Linked DNA regions of Drosophila melanogaster. Changing the gene in region 2 together with the main gene of any one other region gives a genetic interaction. Each region holds a gene or a part of one and is shown on either strand. Other genes may lie near its edges.

Evidence for each region. Genes that interact genetically often act in the same process or in processes that back each other up.
Region 1: of Opa1 (region 2) and gfzf, changing one suppresses a phenotype caused by changing the other (phenotypic suppression), as found in Drosophila melanogaster (one study listed by BioGRID).
Region 3: of Opa1 (region 2) and Adck1, changing one suppresses a phenotype caused by changing the other (phenotypic suppression), as found in Drosophila melanogaster (one study listed by BioGRID).

Annotation. Positions count from the first base shown.
Region 1 is NT_033777.3:7,145,340-7,152,749, reverse strand, and holds gfzf (GST-containing FLYWCH zinc-finger protein), read left to right. Parts: upstream 1-1,781; 5' UTR 1,782-2,119; coding exon 2,120-2,584; intron 2,585-3,117; coding exon 3,118-5,072; intron 5,073-5,371; exon of another isoform or gene 5,372-5,419; intron 5,420-5,657; coding exon 5,658-5,805; intron 5,806-5,866; coding exon 5,867-6,436; 3' UTR 6,437-6,870; downstream 6,871-7,410. Other genes in the region: Sas-4 (spindle assembly abnormal 4), read right to left, coding at 1-1,342; CG2656 (uncharacterized protein), read right to left, coding at 1,552-1,699, 7,169-7,410.
Region 2 is NT_033778.4:14,230,085-14,237,213, forward strand, and holds Opa1 (optic atrophy 1), read right to left. Parts: upstream 5,366-7,129; 5' UTR 5,231-5,365; coding exon 5,202-5,230; intron 5,104-5,201; coding exon 4,806-5,103; intron 4,745-4,805; coding exon 4,609-4,744; intron 4,476-4,608; coding exon 4,359-4,475; intron 4,259-4,358; coding exon 4,184-4,258; intron 4,123-4,183; coding exon 3,533-4,122; intron 3,478-3,532; coding exon 3,104-3,477; exon of another isoform or gene 3,046-3,103; coding exon 2,881-3,045; intron 2,820-2,880; coding exon 2,632-2,819; coding exon of another isoform or gene 2,618-2,631; exon of another isoform or gene 1,881-2,617; coding exon 1,408-1,880; intron 1,343-1,407; coding exon 1,224-1,342; intron 1,161-1,223; coding exon 1,076-1,160; intron 1,016-1,075; coding exon 811-1,015; intron 755-810; coding exon 690-754; 3' UTR 527-689; downstream 1-526. Other genes in the region: Snrk (SNF related kinase), read right to left, coding at 5,996-6,691, 6,755-7,129.
Region 3 is NT_033778.4:24,609,928-24,614,446, reverse strand, and holds Adck1 (aarF domain containing kinase 1), read right to left. Parts: upstream 2,745-4,519; 5' UTR 2,625-2,744; exon of another isoform or gene 2,603-2,624; intron 2,566-2,602; exon of another isoform or gene 2,281-2,565; 5' UTR 2,273-2,280; coding exon 1,160-2,272; intron 1,097-1,159; coding exon 1,001-1,096; intron 940-1,000; coding exon 592-939; 3' UTR 541-591; downstream 1-540. Other genes in the region: CG4741 (uncharacterized protein), read left to right, coding at 172-414, 476-533, 3,165-3,487; CG42360 (uncharacterized protein), read right to left, coding at 3,946-4,150, 4,210-4,431, 4,492-4,519. UniProt on the Drosophila melanogaster protein: Essential for maintaining mitochondrial cristae formation and mitochondrial function by acting via YME1L to regulate the mitochondrial structural proteins Opa1 and Mitofilin. This function is likely to be kinase-independent.

The DNA of each region.
Region 1 (7,410 bases), on a different chromosome or scaffold from region 2:
TCTCCAGCTCTTCGAGGCGAGTGCGAACGAGATTGGCTTTCTCCTGAAGATCTTTGGTTATGGGTTCGTCTGACTCCTTGCTGGGACTTGACTTCTTCTTCTGTTCCAATGCCTGGAAGAGGGCGGACTTGAACTGTTCAAAGAGCTGAATATTGGAGCCGTCGTTGAGGCTGGTGGCATCGGAGTACTCGTGCGTGTCATTGGAGTCGGAGAAACGCACTCGCACTTTAGTATTCCCCACCTGGATGGGTGTCATTGTGAGGGTCTGATCGCTGGACGGTTCGGTGTCCTCCTCGTCCCCCTCCTGCAGTTCCTGCACCAGCATCTGGTCCACCTGTGGCTGCAATCGCATCTGACGCACCTGCTGTGTGACTACAATGTGATCGGAGTCATCAGCTACTCGGCGACGCTGATCTTTGCGCGCCATAAAGGTTCGAATGCAGCTGGAGTTCATATCAATGTTTCCCTCAGTGGCCTTCTGCTCGAGCAGCTCGAATATGCTTACATTGCTGTCATCTTCCACTCGGATTTGAGCAGAGCGTCTTTGGATTTGCGCTGGCTTTATACTCTGTGTGTCCAGCACCTTGGCCCAGCAAACTCCTGTCATGGGACTAGCTTCCGAGGAGGCTTCATCATCGGCATGAGTGGTTTGTCCCGCCCTGCTCTTCTGCTCTACAAAACGAACTCTGGGCGAGGTGCTCGAGGCGGTTGTGGAGGACGCATAGGAAGACTTTAGATCTGGAGTGGAACTGCAGGCGTTCTTGCCGATAAGCATCTGCTGAAAGCGCTGCTCGTTGAGATCGTCGAGCTGTGCTGAGGGTTTGGGAGCTGGTGGAGGCGCAGGATTGGGAGGTGACTTGACTTGCTTCTTGAGAATACCCTTTTTCATTTGAGGCGTGCGGAACTGAGGGTGGGCATTAGCGAACTTGTATCGCGGCAGGTTTTCCAGGCGCAGCTGGTCGGGATTGATCTTGAACCGCTGCTTTAGACCTTCGCCGCGACGCAGAAAAGGGCGTTTAGGCTTGGCCGGCTGGGGATCAGCCATTGAAATCTCTGGCTCGTGCTCGTCCGGATCCGCCGCGAGTCGCGGCATTTGTATAGAGTGCTCCTCGTCCCACTCCTCCAGCACACTGTTTTCATGGCTTTCCGTTTCCTGGTGTAGCAGTCCCAGCATTTTGTACATATTACGTTGCTCCAAGCCGAGCAAAACGCGGTGATTGGACTGCCGCTCCTGCAGCAGCCGCTTCTGCTCGTCCTGCCAACGACTAAGCGCCGCGAGACGCTGTGCGATGGCCTCCTGGCTCAGAGGCATTCCAACAGGACTTTCGCCAGCCTCCTGCATGCTTTTATATTCGTTCTTAGAATCGCAGTTTTGTTTAGACGCCGTACGCGTAGGGGAATTTAAAATTACGGCAGCAGTTGTCCAACACTGTACCAGTGGCAACTCTGCGGTCAGGGATGGTGCTAGACATGCATTTTGATTAGATTTAATTTTTTATTAAAAATAAAATATTGTACATTTTCTTAAGCAATATGAAAAATTGATTTTTTTCAATCCTGATCCCCTTCCTCCGGTTCATCAAAGTCCTTAACGTTCACGTCTGCATCCTCGCCGTACTGCAAGATACTGTCAATTTGTAGCAGAAGATCGCCCACGCTCTCCTCGTCCTGGGAATCCAACGGGAAAAATCTCACCAAACTGTAAGTGAATAATAAACATCAATATTTACAATTTTTGAACGTCACAAAAATAACCGATTTTGATAAGTGGCAACGCCACCGCATAGCTCGCAGCCCTCGTATCCCACACAAAAGCATTTTTCGACGCGTCGCAAAAGAAAATGTGCTTGTGCAATTAAAATCGAGTGATAAAAACCAAATATAAACCCTTTTAGTGCATCAAACTGCAATAAATCAGTGCGTTTGGGTAAATGGCCGGCGTTTGCAAAAAGGCGCGCAAATAGTGAGCTGACGAAATACCACCAAAAATCCCAACCAACAAATCCCAGGCAGCCAGCCACTAAAAAAATCGCCTAATTTACGATACAAAACACTTTTCGAGGGCAAATCGAAAAACGCTGAATTCCGGGCTCGGGCCAAACAGCGCACCAATTCAAAAATGGAGACGCCCGTCGAGGAGCACGGCATGGACCTGACCAAGGTGTCCGTGGTGCGCTCCGCCAAGGGCGTGGATATGCTCTGCGTGGACGACTATCTGTACCACTTCGATCGCATCGGGCGGAATAACACCTACCGATGGCTGTGCAACAGGCGCAAGGACAAGTCCACTCCCTGCAAGTCCCGCATCTGCACCATGCTGCCCGATCCGCTGGACAAGACGCGCCACGTCGTCGTGGACGTCGTTCTGGCCCACATCCACCCGCGCTGCAGCGATCACGAGGTCAACAAGGTGGCCCAGCGCAAGCGGCTCTCCGTAATGATGATGAACGACGCTTACAGCACCACCCAGCCGAAGAGAGCACGCCTGTACGAGCGCGCCAACGCCGGCATGAATCCGCCGGAGTTCATCTACGGAAGCATCGACACCTCCACCGTGGAGGCCTCGTTCCAGTTGGACTTTGAGGTACGGCCCCAGGCCAACTGTACCTGGCTCATGCCCCTGAATACTCAACTCAACCATTTATTTAGAATCTAGCTGGGTCTCTTTTTCAGAAAGAACATTGATATTAATATTGATTCATATTTCGGTAACCACCGCTACTTTGAACATTTGATAATGTAAAAAAAAGGTTAATTTGCTCACCTTAGTAATGAGATGGTTTCCCGCCAATTTGTTTTTTATATTTATTTTCCTATTTGCAAATCCACCGGCTAGGCCGTTAAAAGGACAATAAATACCAAAGCTTAATCATTTATGATTCAAAAAATACTATATATCTCCAAACGAAACTAAATATTAGGGATTTTTGAAAAAAATGGGACCCAATCATTTTATAACATGCACCCTACTGAAGGGAATATCCAAGGGAATGAAATACTTTTGAACTTACACTTAACTTAATTTTACACCTAAATAGATTTCCCATGATGTACCATTTTTAATTCATATACAATTTTACAGCACAAAAATGACTAACACGAACTCTAATTCCGCAGGACAAGGATCGTGTGTACATGCTACGGCGCCGCGACGGCCGCGTGATGGTCTGCATCGACGGGCATCTGTACTACCTGGCCGGGAAATCCTACAAGGGCGACATATTCCGATGGACCTGTGTGCGCAAGCGTGACATTGAGTGCACGGCCAGGATCTGCACGGAGGCGACTTTGGCGGGGGCACATCGCCTGCATGCCGTCGACACGGATGCGCACATTCATCCGCACTACTCGGCCGCCAAGCTGATGCACATGTTTTCGAAGCACCAAATCGTGTTGGTGGAGGACGAAAATACCTCTGATGTGCTGGCAGAGTGCCCCAATCTTGAGTACTTCGATCCGGAAAACACTTTCGACACAGCTCAGCGGGGCGATGACTTGGAATCCATAATAATCGAGGAGTGCGAGGATAACTACGATATATACATGAGAACGGACGGAAGCCAAGGTGGAGGGATTCAAGGCAGCGAAGAGCTCGAGAGCCAGGAAGGGGATGACGAGTCTTCGCTGGTGGACCCGAAAATGCATCACAGCTCCAAGTGGCCAGCGGCATTCGACGTAATTGCCAACTATCTGCCGCCGCCGAGCCACAATCCACTCACGGAAACCGACTTGACCAAGTTCACATTTCTACCATCGGCCAAGGGTCGAAAGGTGCTGTGCTTGAGTCAGCATCTGTTCCACTTCGACTCGCAAAGCAGGTCAAACGGCCACATGTTCTTCACATGCATAAACCGACGCGACAAGGCCAACACTTGTCACGTCCGCATTACCCTAGACCCGGTTGAAAACGGACCAGTAGTGCTTCGAATCAATGGGGAGCACACGCACAATCCGGATATAAAAGAAATTGCTCGCCGGCTAAAGCAGCAGGCCAAGCTGGATCAGGACAATGTGCACAAGCTGCAAAAGATCGAGCACTCTGAAGAGATCAGTTTCGAAAGCGATGAGGGATCGGCCAGCCAGGGAGGCGATACCTTCGAGGCGGAGAACAGCGTCGACGAAAGCTACGGACACATTGACACGCGTAATGTGGTTATGAAGAAGGTGATTAGCATCGATGGCGCCATCAAAATGGAACCAGAATCGAAAGCGAACATGATAGTGCAGTACCTTAAGGACGGAGCGAACAACATAAGCGCCAAGATCGAGATACTGCCCGACGCACTAGATGAGCTCGACCCACATTCACACACTGCTTATTCATCCACACCTTTGCCGAAAGTTCGACAGCCGCAGATCACGAATATTCGTAGGCGACGCGATGTAGCAGAGCCAGCAAAGGGCGCCCAGCCGGACATGGACCTCTCAAAGATTTGTACCCTGAGATCTGCCAAGGGGCACGAACTGCTGTGCGTCGATGGCTATATATACCATGCCAAGAACCGTGGCGTCATCTCGCGCAACTATTGGGTGTGCATCAAAAGCCGCGATCCGGACATCAATTGCAAGAGCCGCATCTCGACGGCCACCCAAAAGGATGGCTCTATTCGTGTGCTCCGTGTTTACAACAGTCATAGCCATCCTTTCAGCGAGGACGACATCAAGCGGAGACTCTACAACGAGATCAACAAGAAGAACAACAAGAACCTAAAGTTTCGGCCGCTGCACTTTATCGGCAAATCGTTGGATCAGATTCAGCAGGAGTATGGTGATTTGGCCATCGAGCGCCTGAATGTGTCTAATATCAGCAGCGACATTGTGGTTCACAAGAAGCCTCGAGTTAGCGGCAGTAATAATAGCAGATCTGCATCATTATCCGTGTCCCACAGAGCGGACTCTCACCATGAGGAAGATGATGTTGTTATCGTGGAGGAAGAGTACCAGGAGCAAGAGGAAGGCGTCGAAATGACCATGGAGGGCGATCAACAATACATGGATGTGGACAACACAGATGGGATCATTGAGGTTGTCGAGGAAGTAGCCGATGAAATGGAAAGCTACGGCTCTATTGTGTATGTATACCATCCCGAAAGAAAGAAAACATAACAATCTTTTTAAAAAACGTACTTGCATGAATAAAAACAAGAACACTAACAATGAGATAGAACTTTTGGCACACTTACAACACCTACCCTTATTCGAAACAAATATTCATAGCCTCGATTCATTATAAAGAATTCGTGACTGTTAAGGGTCGACAAATTAGGCAGAGTATTTGCGAACCTATGTTAGCATAATGCCTTTCAAACGCAAAACAAGTTTGGATTGTCATTGAAATGAACACCTGCAATATCTGGCAAGTTAATTCAGCACATCAGTATGGTTTGAAAGCTGCTCGAACGTACAACATTAATTTTGGGTTTGTTATTATTCAGTATTTAAAAATATTTCTTAAAAAGCCCAGAAATTCTTTGACAGAATTTTTGCGATAGAATACACACTGAATACAGACAGCATCAGCAATAATTAAACCAAATATATATATAGATATATAGAAAATAGACAGTAGAGGCAAATTGCTTTCACTTTTAAGCTACAAGCAAACCGGTCGAACAAGAGACAAATACACAAAACTAACGATCGCTGTGTACCCACAGACCCATCTACACAATGAAACTCTACGCCGTATCCGATGGTCCGCCTTCCCTGGCCGTTCGCATGACCCTGAAGGCCTTGGATATACAATATCAACTCATCAATGTGGACTTTTGCGCCATGGAACATCGCTCTGAGGAGTACTCGAAGGTATGTGCATATGGAGTCATGAATTTGATTTTCAAGTCATTAAAAATTCAAATCATTGCAGATGAATCCGCAAAAGGAGATACCCGTGCTGGACGACGACGGTTTCTATCTATCGGAGAGCATTGCCATTATGCAATACCTCTGCGACAAGTACGCGCCGGATTCAACGCTATATCCGCAGGACGTCAATGTGAGAGCAGTAATCAATCAGCGGCTATGCTTTAACATGGGATTCTACTATGCCCCCATATCCGCCCACAGCATGGCGCCCATTTTCTTCGACTACAAACGTACGCCCATGTCGCTAAAGAAGGTGCAGAACGCACTTGATGTGTTCGAAACCTATTTGCAGCGACTGGGCACTAAGTACGCGGCAGGCGAGAACATAACCATTGCAGACTTCGCTCTCATTTCGGCCACGATCTGCTTGGAGGCAATTAACTTTGACTTGCACCAGTTTACGTTGGTGAACAAGTGGTACGAAACCTTCAAGGTGGAATACCCGCAGCTGTGGGAGATCGCCAACAGCGGCATGCAGGAGATAAGTGCGTTTGAGCAGAACCCACCGGATATGTCACACATGGAACACCCATTCCATCCGACGCGCAAGTCTATGGGCCTGAAGTTGTAGATTGTAGTTTTAGAACTTAAGACCCTGCCAGCAAGGGAAGTGAAAAACGTTCTCCTTTTAATTCTTGTGAAATATTCGATATATATATATATATTGATATAATAATAATAACATAATTATATAATAATATATAATTATAGGTTGTTTTGCCTTCCAAATTGACATGAACAAAGAAGTTCAGAAGTCTAAGAAAAAATAGTATTAAAATGTGCCCACAAAATTTTATGCGATTGAAATTGCAAGTCGAACTGGAGGTCAAGCTTAAATTTTTTCAACAAAATACATATTTCCATTATTTTTGTCTTATTAGAAAATATTATCATTTCTTGCTAACAATTTGAAGTTATTTTATGGCAAGAATCCCTTTAAATCAACCTTGGTTATTATAAGGACTAATCAACCTGTGTTTATCATTTAAAATAAAACATTTCGATAAAACCAAAAATGTGTTTCCTTTGATATGATTGTATTAAAAAATCTTCTGATAAAAAACCTACCGATGTTAATAAAATCATAATGTTGGTGATTAAATCGAACTAACTAAAACGAAAATATTAACAACCATAGTCGACTTTTTCGTGTATTTTCTGCGGCTAATCGCTTACAATAGTCTCTCTTCAAATGTAATTAACTTTTGGATTTTTTGGACTGTAATTTTTGTAAAATGCTCAGTAAAACTCCACTCCGCTACCACCGATTTAAGTATCAATTAATTATAATTGATTAGCTCACCTGAAATCCTCAATTAGCGCGCCAATAGCCTGCGTAAGCTTTGCGTATTTCTCGCCAAAACCAGTCCCGATGGTCAGCTCGCCCATCAGACTGTGGGCATCCGGTTCCAGGTACATCTCCAGCTGTTTCCGCGCATCGCTGCTCAGCAGATCCACTTTGGTCAGCACATTGATGTGCGGCTGCTCCATGTTGGCCATCACACTGAGCGCGGCCATGGTGCCGGAAATGAACTTGGCCCCGTC
Region 2 (7,129 bases):
TAACATGATAGGGAACGAGCATTTGTTTACCTTGTAAGAGATATGGTACTGCACCGCAATCACGGACTTGTTATGTTACATAGCTAGCTACATACATAGTTAGCTAGATATACGTTTATCAATCAAACAATCAATCAATTAGAGACGCGGCCAGACGATCGGTCGGGGTTAATGCACCCACCACCGATCTCGATACCGATACAGATGCCGGCGCATCGCGGGATTAGCCGATCGTGGACAAAACGAAACAAACAATCAACCGCACGATGAGGCATCTGGTAAAAGTGCTGTGCTCTTATGCAAACCGATTTAAATATATATGTATATATATATATTACACGATACAGATTCAGAAACACACACGGACCGCTACATACTCAGCACGATGAGTGCGTTTCGCGTTAACGTTTATCAACTACAATTACATTAAAACAGAATGAATGATTTATATTACATTTAAATTAATGAGTTTACATTGCATTGCATGCGACATAAGGTTACACTTCATAAACAATAAAGACGATTTCAATAATACGAACTAACGATCTATTTGTTTATTACTTTCGGAGCACAAAGTATGCTTAACTAAGGGGCTCAAGCGTGACTATGAACAAACATTTCAAATGTGGTCTTAAACTATCAAGTTAAATAAGTAACGCCTCGGGTGTTGTGTCTTTGGTCATGGCACACTACTTTTCCTGATTAAGTGAATTGATGAACTCCTCCAGCTTCTCTTGGATCTGCCGCACTTTGACTGTTGAATTGAAAGCAATTAAATTGGCGCCAAATTCAATTAAGCAAAGCACTCACTTAGCTCCTCGGCTAGTAGCACGCGCTTGCCGGTGAGCAGGTAACCCTTCTTCTCCTCGTCATCGCTGAACTCGTCCAGCACCGCTTTGATCTCCTTGTCCAGCCGCCGCGCCTCCCGATTGATTACTTGCTGTCTCAGTGCGTTGCCTGTTATCTTGATCACCTGCTGGATGCGCCAGAAGAGCACGACGTCGCTGCAGGATATCTGAGAAAGCAATAAGTTAAGTAAATTGGTTCAGATAAGAGGGAAAACCTTAACACTTACCTCACACTCGGCTCCCTGCTGCGTGTAGAGGTAATATGCTTTGCGGCAATCCTTTGCCCTCTGTAACGCCTGCTGCAGAAAGTGTCTGAAAAAAGAGACATATGTGCTAACTGATAAGCAGTCTAAATGGTTTAGCATTACAACTTACTTTCTGTAGACCGGGAACCACGTTTGCCTTATGTAGTCCGTGTCCACATCCACGTTATCACGCTGAAGGTTCTTGCGAACCGTAGTCAGTTCATCATGGGTCAGGGTGGGCAAATGTTTCTACCAACATAATGTAATGCGTGTAAATGAGGAATAACTAACTATATAATGTATACTACCCATACCGTATCGTTTTTGAGTATTTTGTCGAGTTCGTTCTTAACGCTTCGCCTCTTCTGCTGATCCTGCGTCAGGTACTGCCAGTGGGTAATTCGTCGCATTTGGCCGGGACCAAACATTTGTGCTAAAGTCTCCTCCGTCTGCACGAGCTTGGCATTCACCGAACTCTCCAGGAACTTAACCGCCGAATCCCACTCCTGCTTGTCGTGCACGAACCGATCCTCCAGCGTATTCAGCTGGATAACGCGAAGCATGTCGATGGCCTTGTCCTCCCAGCTGTGCCGACGTATAGCCTCATCCACCACCGCAGACTTCAACTGATCGAAGATGCCGTCGTGATCCTGCGCCTTCTTCGAACGCTCCATCAGCGATATGAATTCCTGCTGCAACGCTTCCCAGCCAGCTTCCACCGACTTAGCGGGCAGTGCCTGCTCGGCCCACTGGCGCAACTTGATGTCTACCATCGTGTTGAAGGAATCTATAAAGAGCATAGTAATCGTATGAAATTAGTTGAGCCAAATTAACTAGACACACAACTACGGGGGGAATGATAAACAAAGCGACGAAACATTCAGATTCCTAACTCGATAACTGCAATTTAATTCAATTAGACATTGATTTGGATGAATTCATTGAGCAAATTAACAGGTCTGTCATAAAATGCTAAATAAACACAAGCTGAGCGATGGCTTAAACGGGTTTTTCGGTCATAAATCGCTAATATCGCATACGTTTTTATAATGTGAACATAAACCAAAATCTGGTTTCGGTACAGGTGCTCGTAAATCTTCGTTATAAGCGACTTTCCGGCACATGATCGCAACGCAGAACCTGTGACAATCCCGGGTCACTATTTTGGGGCAAAGGCAAACGGTGTTAATGGGATTCGAAATCGTCCGCCGGGGAGTACACATTAAATTTACACTTGTGATTCAAGAAATGTTGCAGGAATATCAGTCAAACCGGTTTGAAATTATTTAACGCATGTGATTCCCTTGCACGGGAATTCGACGCTGAATGCGGGCCATGATAAATACAAAATTAAACAAAACATTTAAACGACACAACGTTTTGCAGAGACACGTGAGGTTCGAGGCCAAGCCATATCTTCTTGCAAGAAACACACACAATGACGGAGCACACAAGGCGGGCGATTGGATGGACGTGCCCCCATCGATGACGTCGGCGAAATCTGCTTACAACCTACACTTAGTACTACAAAATATTACTTTGAGAACCTGACTGTGCAGCGGGCAGATAGATGCTTTCAAACACATAATTGGAGAGCTTTTCCCATAGCTTGGTGCTCAGAGCGTCGTCCCACTTTTTAGCGGAGATTTGCGAGAGCGTTACCACCTCGTCCAGTATCTCGCCCTTTGCCTTGTCGAACAGCTCATCTCGACCAGACTCGCGCAATCTAAAAGAGTATACCTCAAATGTTATAGATCTCTTATATTTTTTAAAACATTTTTACAAACCTGGGGAAGTTATTTTTCCATTCGGTTTCCAGATTAAATCTAGTCGCCTTAAATGCATCCGCCTGCTGCTCAATGGTTTCCCTCACCATCTTCCAGAAACGATCTGACACCGCCAAGCTCAGATTGCGGCTGGTCACCTGATGGGGCATGATAACCCCTCGACGACTAAGTATGGAGAGAGGTGAACTTTGGAATTTACCAATCACATCCTCTCTATACTTACTGGAAAAGCTTGGAGTTCTTAAAGAAGTCTTCCTCATACTGCCGAATAGCATCTATGCTGTCATCCTTTCGTCCACGACCGGTAACGACGGCATAGTAGCCCAAAGCCTTCATGGGGAAGAGTTTGCCCGAAAGGATTTTCCTTATTCTATCAGGATCGGCGAGCTCCTCGGCCAGATCCACCTTTGTGAGCACAAAAATAGTGCGTCGACCCAAGGGATCGCACTGCATGACCAAGTCTGTCACATTACTGCGCTCAGCGTCCACAGATCCATCCTGAATGCAGAGAATGATGGCGTTCGGATTGCTCATATAATGCTTGGTCATCTGGTGAATGGAATCTTTTGTGTCTGAGGCCATGTCGACAGTCATGGTCTAAAATGATATTAGCATTAGATGTGCGCAGTTTTACTTGTATTGACTTGCTCACCGAAATTATTCCTGGCAAATCGACTAGAACCATGCGTTGCAGACCGGGACCCTTGACCGTCATGGCAATGACTTCATTGCTGACGGTTTTACCACCTCTCACCGACGCCTTCATTCGGAACTCCACATCCCGACGGAGGTCCTGCAGATCAGACTCCTTGGTGAGATCGTATTCCCGGTCAGAGTCACGGAACTGAGCCACATGGTATGGTCCTTCAGCCAGAGTAACTTTGACTGGGGCTCGCGTCATCATCTCTCCACTGCCACGGGGAAAGATGCGAGCCTTAGCAATGGATTCCAGGACAGAGGTCTTGCCGCTGCTCTGATCTCCCACTACCACAACACGGGGTAGGTGATCGGCCATGGTGTAGCCCGTATCGTAGCCGGATAGCTCATCAAGGACCTCAGAGTACATGTCGATCAGGGATTTTTTGATTTTTTTTGCCGTGGTCTTTTTGTTTGTTTTCAGGATGAGGTATTGCTGGCGTAGTTCACGGTTCTCCTTCTCCATCTTCTCCAGCTCCTTTTGGTACTTAATCTGGACGTTCATGATCTCCGTCTGCAGCGTCTCCACCTGGCTCTGGAGTTTCTCTGCGGAATCACAGAAGGATTAGATATAGTATATCTTTCGGCAGGTGTGCAAAAAACCTACCATACTTCTTACGACTCTCATCGGATGTTATGCCTAAAGCGGCCACCGTTGTTTTGGCCTTTAAGTCATCTTTGGCTGCAACAGATGTTAGGAATAAGTCTCGAATGCGGTAGATAGGGATCTCTCACTTTAAATGGTCCCAACGTTGGGAGTCTGTGTAATTTGTGTAACCTACTTTCGACAATCTGAACTCCTTGATAATCGGCCGCCTCGATGGCATCGTCCAGACGACTGTCAAACCAGTTGCGCCATTCCGACAACTTATCCTCGCCCAGCTGCTTGAGCTTTGGATCTACAAGCAAACGCCCCAATAACATCAGTATCAATCAATCAAAACGAAGAGTTCAATGCGAATCTGACCAAGGTATATGACCATTTAAAGTGAGAGATTGAAAGGGCGATGGTAGGTCTACATGGACACTCACCAACTTCGATGGCGTTCTTCACCAGCGAGCCCACCTCAATGAGATTCCGCGAGAACTGGCTCCACCGTTCGCCCTGCGGCATGGCATCCTCCAGCCACTTAAAATTCGGCAGTCCATCCTTCCATTCCTCGTATTTCTGCGGAAAACAAATCATGTCTCCTAAGTTCTATACAAGTTATATAACTTGCGAAACTCACTTTGCTCAGCGACACGCCCCCGCCGATGGCGCCGCCCAGGACGATGTATCGCAGCTTGAGGGCTCCCCGCAGTATGCGCACCACCAGCATTCCGTAACCACGCGACGGCGGAGGCATTTGCCAGCCCCGCGCCGGATTGCCGGCAAGTAGGAACTCCTCGTGGCCACGGTGCCTGCCATTCGAACTGGAGCTCCCGCTATCCTGCGCCCGACGTGGATGGCTGGTGATGCCACAGAGCGTGGAATGATTGCAGCAGGCGACCTTGGTGGAGTAGACAACAGCTTTTCTCGCGGTGCGCCTGTGGGCAAAACACATTGAATGATGAGATTCGCCGATGACGAAATCGTGCAGAAAATCTGCACGTAAGGCTTTCGCGTTTCGGGCGTGGTCTCTCACCGGTAAGTATTTTGATAGATGCGCAACATAATTGCTGGTCAGGATTACAGTTTCCACTTAGTTTACTTTGTTTATTTCCGTGAATAATTCAATTTTCCTGCCGCAAACTCATCTCTGAAAAACTTTACGGGATGTGCTCTGTGTGACCAGAGTTGAAAAGGGTGGCTTGTACTCGTTTGGGGTACCTGCATTAGGTACAATGTATTTTACACGCATCATTTTGTAAAATAAAAGAATATATTTTTGTATATTGTATATTTTTCTTACAATAAAAAAAAATTGCTTGGTGACATCCATCATTGCTTAACTACATCTTAAGAGCTTTAAGTAGTTAAATGTTTATTGCTTTATTTCCTTTACCTACTCTACAACATTTGTGGTGTGTACACACTGTAGTTGGGCGCAAACATTTGAATTGCCAATTTTAGATTGTGCGAGTTGCGAGTTTCATTCCATTTTAATTCGTCACAATTTGTTAAAAAGAAAACAAATAACCTTTTTAGTCAATTGTCATATGGGCATTAATGTATTTTCACTAAATATTGCATTGAGTGATTAGACTTATAATTAACATAAATTAATATATTTAGAATAATTTAAGCGTAATGACGACGACAGACAAAACAATTACGCTACCACTAAATTTAAATATTCTCGCGCTCTTTCCTATATACGGGGGATAACGTTGACGTTTATACGTTTTAATTAATACATGCATATTTTCTATGTAGTTCGCTTAACCGAGTTTCTTTTTAATATTTAGAATGCACTTTGCAAAGAAGTAACTGTGTCTATTAAGAGAAGTTCATCACGGGAAAATATTTTCCCAGCCGTCGGATTTTCTTCATGGTGACAAAGCATTTAGAGCCGGTAACGTGTATTGCTTTGGTAAGGCTTTTATCCTCCAAAATCAAGTCGATATGCTCGATTGAGTTCAGATTATAAATATCTTTTGGTGTTTCGTTGGACTTCTTGCCGTTGGCTTTCTGGCTACTGATGTGGATGATGCTCTGGTTGTGATTGTGATTGAAGTTCCTACTAAGATTGGTATTGTTATTAAAATATTGCTCTTGTTGAAGCGTTGCTTTGGCTGCATTCAAAGTATTCATGATTTGGTCCGTGGCATTTGTGGCGTCTGCCTCCTCGTCGTACTCCTCCTTGGTTTCGGCAACGGAGAATGTGCTAGTGTTTAGGCTGAGTAAAGAATATCTCTGATCGATATGTTGGGTGGACGAGGACGACGAGGATGCTGCCTCGCTCTCCGCGTAGCATCGATGCCGCATCTCGTATTCCTGAGCCTCTGTGATGCGGTCCAGCGACTGGCTCTCGCGAATGCGCCGCCTTCTATTCGTGGAATTTCCTGTTGTAGCTGTGCTGCTATCCGCCAGCTGCCTCTCAGCGTGGGAATGCTTATCAACATGATCCTTGTTGTGCTGTTTCCGATTTTTTTGGCTGTGAGATTTGCGATTTTCATCGGATTTGTTATTTGGCTGTAAGCAAAGAATATAAGTTTAGTAGCTGTCTCACTGATAATTATACAATAATAATCGTACCTCTTTATACTGCGATTGTCCCTCTTTTTTGCCGCTTACTGAGCCGCTTTTGGAGATAAAATTACCCGCATTGCTGGCCGAGCCGGGCGGCGGATATAGCTGATCTTGCGAGTCGCTGGAGTCGTCATGCGAGTCGCGACGATGCATGCGAAACCGCACTGGCGTGTCACCGACAAATTTGTTAATCTTTTTCTTGTTGCGTGTCTTGGTGTCGTCGTCTGAGGCCTCCGAGCTGCTGCATGAAGGCGTCCGAATCTTGTTCAGCTTTGTGCGACGGTGGGTAAGCACCGGATTCTTGCTGCTGCTAGGAAGCGGCTTGAGCTTGCCGATCTCCAGCTCCTTCAGACCACTCAGCGTGTCCTCATCGATCTTGGC
Region 3 (4,519 bases), about 10 Mb from region 2:
AAAGCAAATATGTGCGTTCTTCGCTGTCAGCCCCGAGTCTGACCCATGCCCGGATGTCCTATCAATTCGGTGGCCAGTAGTTCAGGTTAGTCGGCTCTGTCTGTTCGTCAGAGAACTGCTGTCTTCGAGACATTTTTCAGTTCCAATCAGGAATTAACACCCGAGTTCAACATGGCCCCTGCCATAAACGCGACGGTCAGCACCCCTTTTGACTCCACCACGGTGGCCAACGGAACACTTAACACCACTGAAAGTACGACATCGGATTGGGAATACGTTAACACCACTTCCGTCACAATTTGGATCAACGGTGGCGGCTACGATGGTCCATACATGTTATTTTATCCCAGCTATGTCATTTACATTGTGCTGGTCTTCCTCTTCGTCATCGCCTTTCCTCTGGCCATGATTATGGTAAGCCCATTCGGAATGGGACACTACCTGCTCCTGCTAATGATTCACTCTCTCCCCGAAGAGCGCCAAACGCAAGCGAGAGACCAATGTGCGGAATCTGGCCCAGCAGAGACAACGAGGTAATTTCCCTTTCCTCGTGAAGAGTTTTGTACTTTTAATTGGGGGACACCGTTTAGTCTAAATAACCTGCTTGAGAGCTTCAAGGAAACCAAAATTAATCAGTCCCAGGTAGAGGTAGTAGCAGTTGAGCTTGAAAAGCTCCCATCGCTCGCGCACCCGCAGCCACAGGATTCGCGAGGATCCGGAATCAGACTGCTTGGCTCGCTGTTCAGCGTACGAAGATTGAACACAGCACTTGGACATAACCCAGAAGGCGGTCATCCGGTTCTGCGTGCGCAGCGTGGACTCAATTCCGCGGATCAAGTCATTTGTCTTCAGAATGAGCAGCATCTGACGGTCCACCTGCTCCAATACGTCGGAAATGTGCGGCAGCACCAGGGACGTGTTGTTTTGCAGCGTGTTCTTCTGCAGAATCAAAGCATATACTACGAGTAATTGAAGAGAAGAATTTCCGGCACGAACTTACCTCTTCTTTGGAATATTTGACTTTGGTCAGGCCCTGCATCACCGTCTCCCAAGGTCGTCCCGTCACCATGCATGCGAAAAGACCGTACAGATCGCCCTGGATTGAAGGTTTAGAAGGTTAGAAGGTTTAGGTTCAAATCCACCTCCCAAGCGAAAATACCTTAATTCCCAGCTGCTCACTGTGTTGTCGCATCGCTTTGCGGTCCACCTTAAGGATACTCAGCCAGAGATTGGAATAATCGTACCGAAACTTGTCCGTCAGATTTGCATACAGCCCGTGATCCAGCAGAACTATCTCCAGACTGTTTTCCGGCGTGCGTCTTACCAAGATGTTTCCTGGATGCGGATCGCTGTGCACGAAACCGGTGCGGAAGATCATCTCGGAGTAGAGCTGCCCAATGCGATTGGCCACCGCAAATGAGTCAATTTTGTTTCGCCGTATGTAGTCCAAGTCCGTGACATGCCCACCCTCCAGGTACTCCATGACTAGGACTCGAGAAGAGCTATATTTCCAGTATATCTTGGGCACCCGAAGCCACGAGTACTTCTTGAACTGCTTGGCTACTTTCTCGGCGTTACGTCCCTCGTTTAGGAAATCGAGTTCGATTGGCAAGTTCTTTTTAGACTCCTCAACCAGCCAGTGGATCTTGAAGTCGGGAAATATCCGAGCCAGCACATTAACGGCCAGTTCCATGGTCTTCATGTCAACGCGGGAGTTACCCTTAACGTAGGGATGTTGCACCTTCACGGCCACCAGCTCGCCGGTCTTGAGGCGCGCCTTATGTACCTGGGCAAGGGAAGCAGTTCCCAGCGGCTCCCTCTCGAAGCTGTCGAAGATTTCTTCCGGATTGCAGTGCAGATCCTGTCGGATTACCTTATACAGGTCCTCAATGGGGTTTTGCGGCGCATCGGAGTGAAGTACCTTCATGGTCTGCACAAACTCCTTGGGTAGCAGGTACTCCAAGGCCCCTATGTGCTGGCCCACCTTGATGTAGACACCCTTGTTTATGCAGATCAGCTGAAGTAGCTTCTCGGCGGCTATCTTGTGGACCCGGCTCTTTTCCGCCTTGTACTCGGGCGTCTCCTTATCCCATTCCTTGTAGTAAAGTTCCCGCTTGTAGGTGAGTGCCACGTCCACGACGGCGGCGGCGGATCGCGACAGCCGGACGATTCCGAGTGAGTTGGGATCGTAGTCGTTGGTGTGCAGGCTCCAGCCGGCGGAGGCCAGTCCGGCGCCGACTACTCCGTAGCCCAGAACGCGACGCAACAGCATTCCTCCGGCTGCAAAATGAAGAGCGTTTAGTCCGGTGTGCAAAAACAACAGGTGTCAATGCCGATTAACCTTTGGGCTTTCACCTAAATTAAGCGCGTAGTTTTACGCGGAACCAAGGCACTGAGGCACTTTGAACTTTGCCCTCCGCTAACTGATTTTTGGCGAATACAGCCCACTTAACCTGTTGCATCTCCGCCAGCATTTTCATTTACATTTTTCCCATTTACATTTTCCAGCGCTCACATGTAGCTAAACTTTCACCTCAGTAATTTCGTCTGCGCCATTATGTAAACACAACTGACTGAAGGTGAGTCGCGGCTCGCTCGGAATGACTGCCAATAGTTTCACTTACTCGATATGGTGCACTACAGATAGCGCCGGAGTTCAACGGCGCGTAGGTGTTGAAATTCCAAAGTCTGTGATTAAATTGATGCGCTTCCACTTCTGTGGTGGCCTTAGTTGGCGCAATCAGCTGTTGGCCTGGCGTCAGAGCAGCTGACCCAATAGCAGAGCTCAAGGGCGTAGTTGTTTTGGCATAAGGGGGTTGAGTGCTCTTACCATAATATAACGGCTTTTTAATCAGCATGAAAAACGTTATTATAAATGTCGTTTAAAATAAAGAACGACTCGAACAGTATGTTGAAAGTCATTAGTGAGACCCGACCCCCCTGTGGAAGGCTGGTTGCTTTTTCTGCTTTAAAAGCGGGTAACATTTAACGGTTAACAGAACATGTTACGCTATATATAAAGGAATACCAATATTAGCAGGTATCGGTTAACAGAACGCAGCGATTTAGACGTATATTTAAAAGATATAGTTGCTAACTTCCGTTTTTAAAGAGATTCTCTGAGGTTTCCTTGTCCACTACGATTTAAATCTCTTTTTTCGCAGCCCGTCGCCAAATGGAGATCAATGTGACGAACAATTGCAACGGCGGCTCCGGAGGAGTCGGAAACGTGTGCTCAAACAGCCAGAACGAAGTTAGTGTCCTGCCCAAGACCTTGGATTTGCCGCCCAGCTACGACGAGGCCGCTTTTAGCGAGCGAAAGCAGGACAGCACACTGACCATAGCCACCAGCTTGGAAGCGAGCAATCCCAATTTGGCGGTTGGAATTAACGAACCACCGCCGGTTTACGAGGCGAACGTGGCCACAACCACCACTTCCACCACCACCACCGTATTTTTGGTCAACGGCCAACCACCAGTGGTGTAACAAAGCATTGGACTTCTGAGAAATAGTAAATCTATTATTATTTATACACTAAACAAGACACTGTACAGCTTTGCCTTTGTAAATAAATCTTGCTCCTCGGCAACTCTTTAATTTTGCATAACTTATAAACCCCATTGGAGTAAATAAATAAATAAACGTATAGTGCATATTAAAAAATTTTTCTGGTCGAAAATTATATGTAAATAATGAACTTCGTAATTTTGCAAGATTTTTAAAATAGTAGGCATATGAAAACCCTTCTGGTCGAAAACTATATGCTATATGCTAATAAAATGAGTAAACGCTGCGTATTAACTCTTCAGTATTGACCAACTTAACGCTAATTGTAAAGGAAAAGAAAGTTGAATAATTCGCAACCAAACTAAATGAAAACTACTAACTTAAGATATAACACGAAACTAAAGAATAATTTGAAAACAAATATATGGCTAGGTGCATTAGCACCTCAAAATTTCGTCGAGGGTAGGTCCCCAGCGGCCGTAAGGATCCTTGGGTAAAATGAATATGTTGTCGCACCAGGAGTAACCAAGAACTCGATTCTCAACGATCAATTTAAATGCAGGATTTTCATTAATCAGGTCTCTGTAGTTGTCGTTGGAAACCACGGCGGCATTCTTTTCGTATGCCAGCTGCAAAATGAAACTGAAAAAAAAAATTATGCATTTCCATTTCTAAATAGAAGTTTTTTCTAAGGAGCTCACCGATCATCGTAGCTAGACGTAATTTGACCGGGAATGTTTTTGCACGGCGTAAACACAATCTTCCCTTCCTTGTGCAGCTTATCGAGAAGCTCGGGATTCGAAGACTTGAAGTTGTTTTTCCGGAACATTGGAACCACAGCCTTAACTTCGTGACCCATTTTCTCAAAATACTGCAAGCAATACTTTATTCCCTCTGATGAAAACACGTTTGAGTTGCCATGACTGTCAAATGAAAATGAAATAAATAGTCCGTCTAGAGTTAGCTTTAAGCAGAGAACTTACGCAAAGGCGACATTGCTACCATCGATGA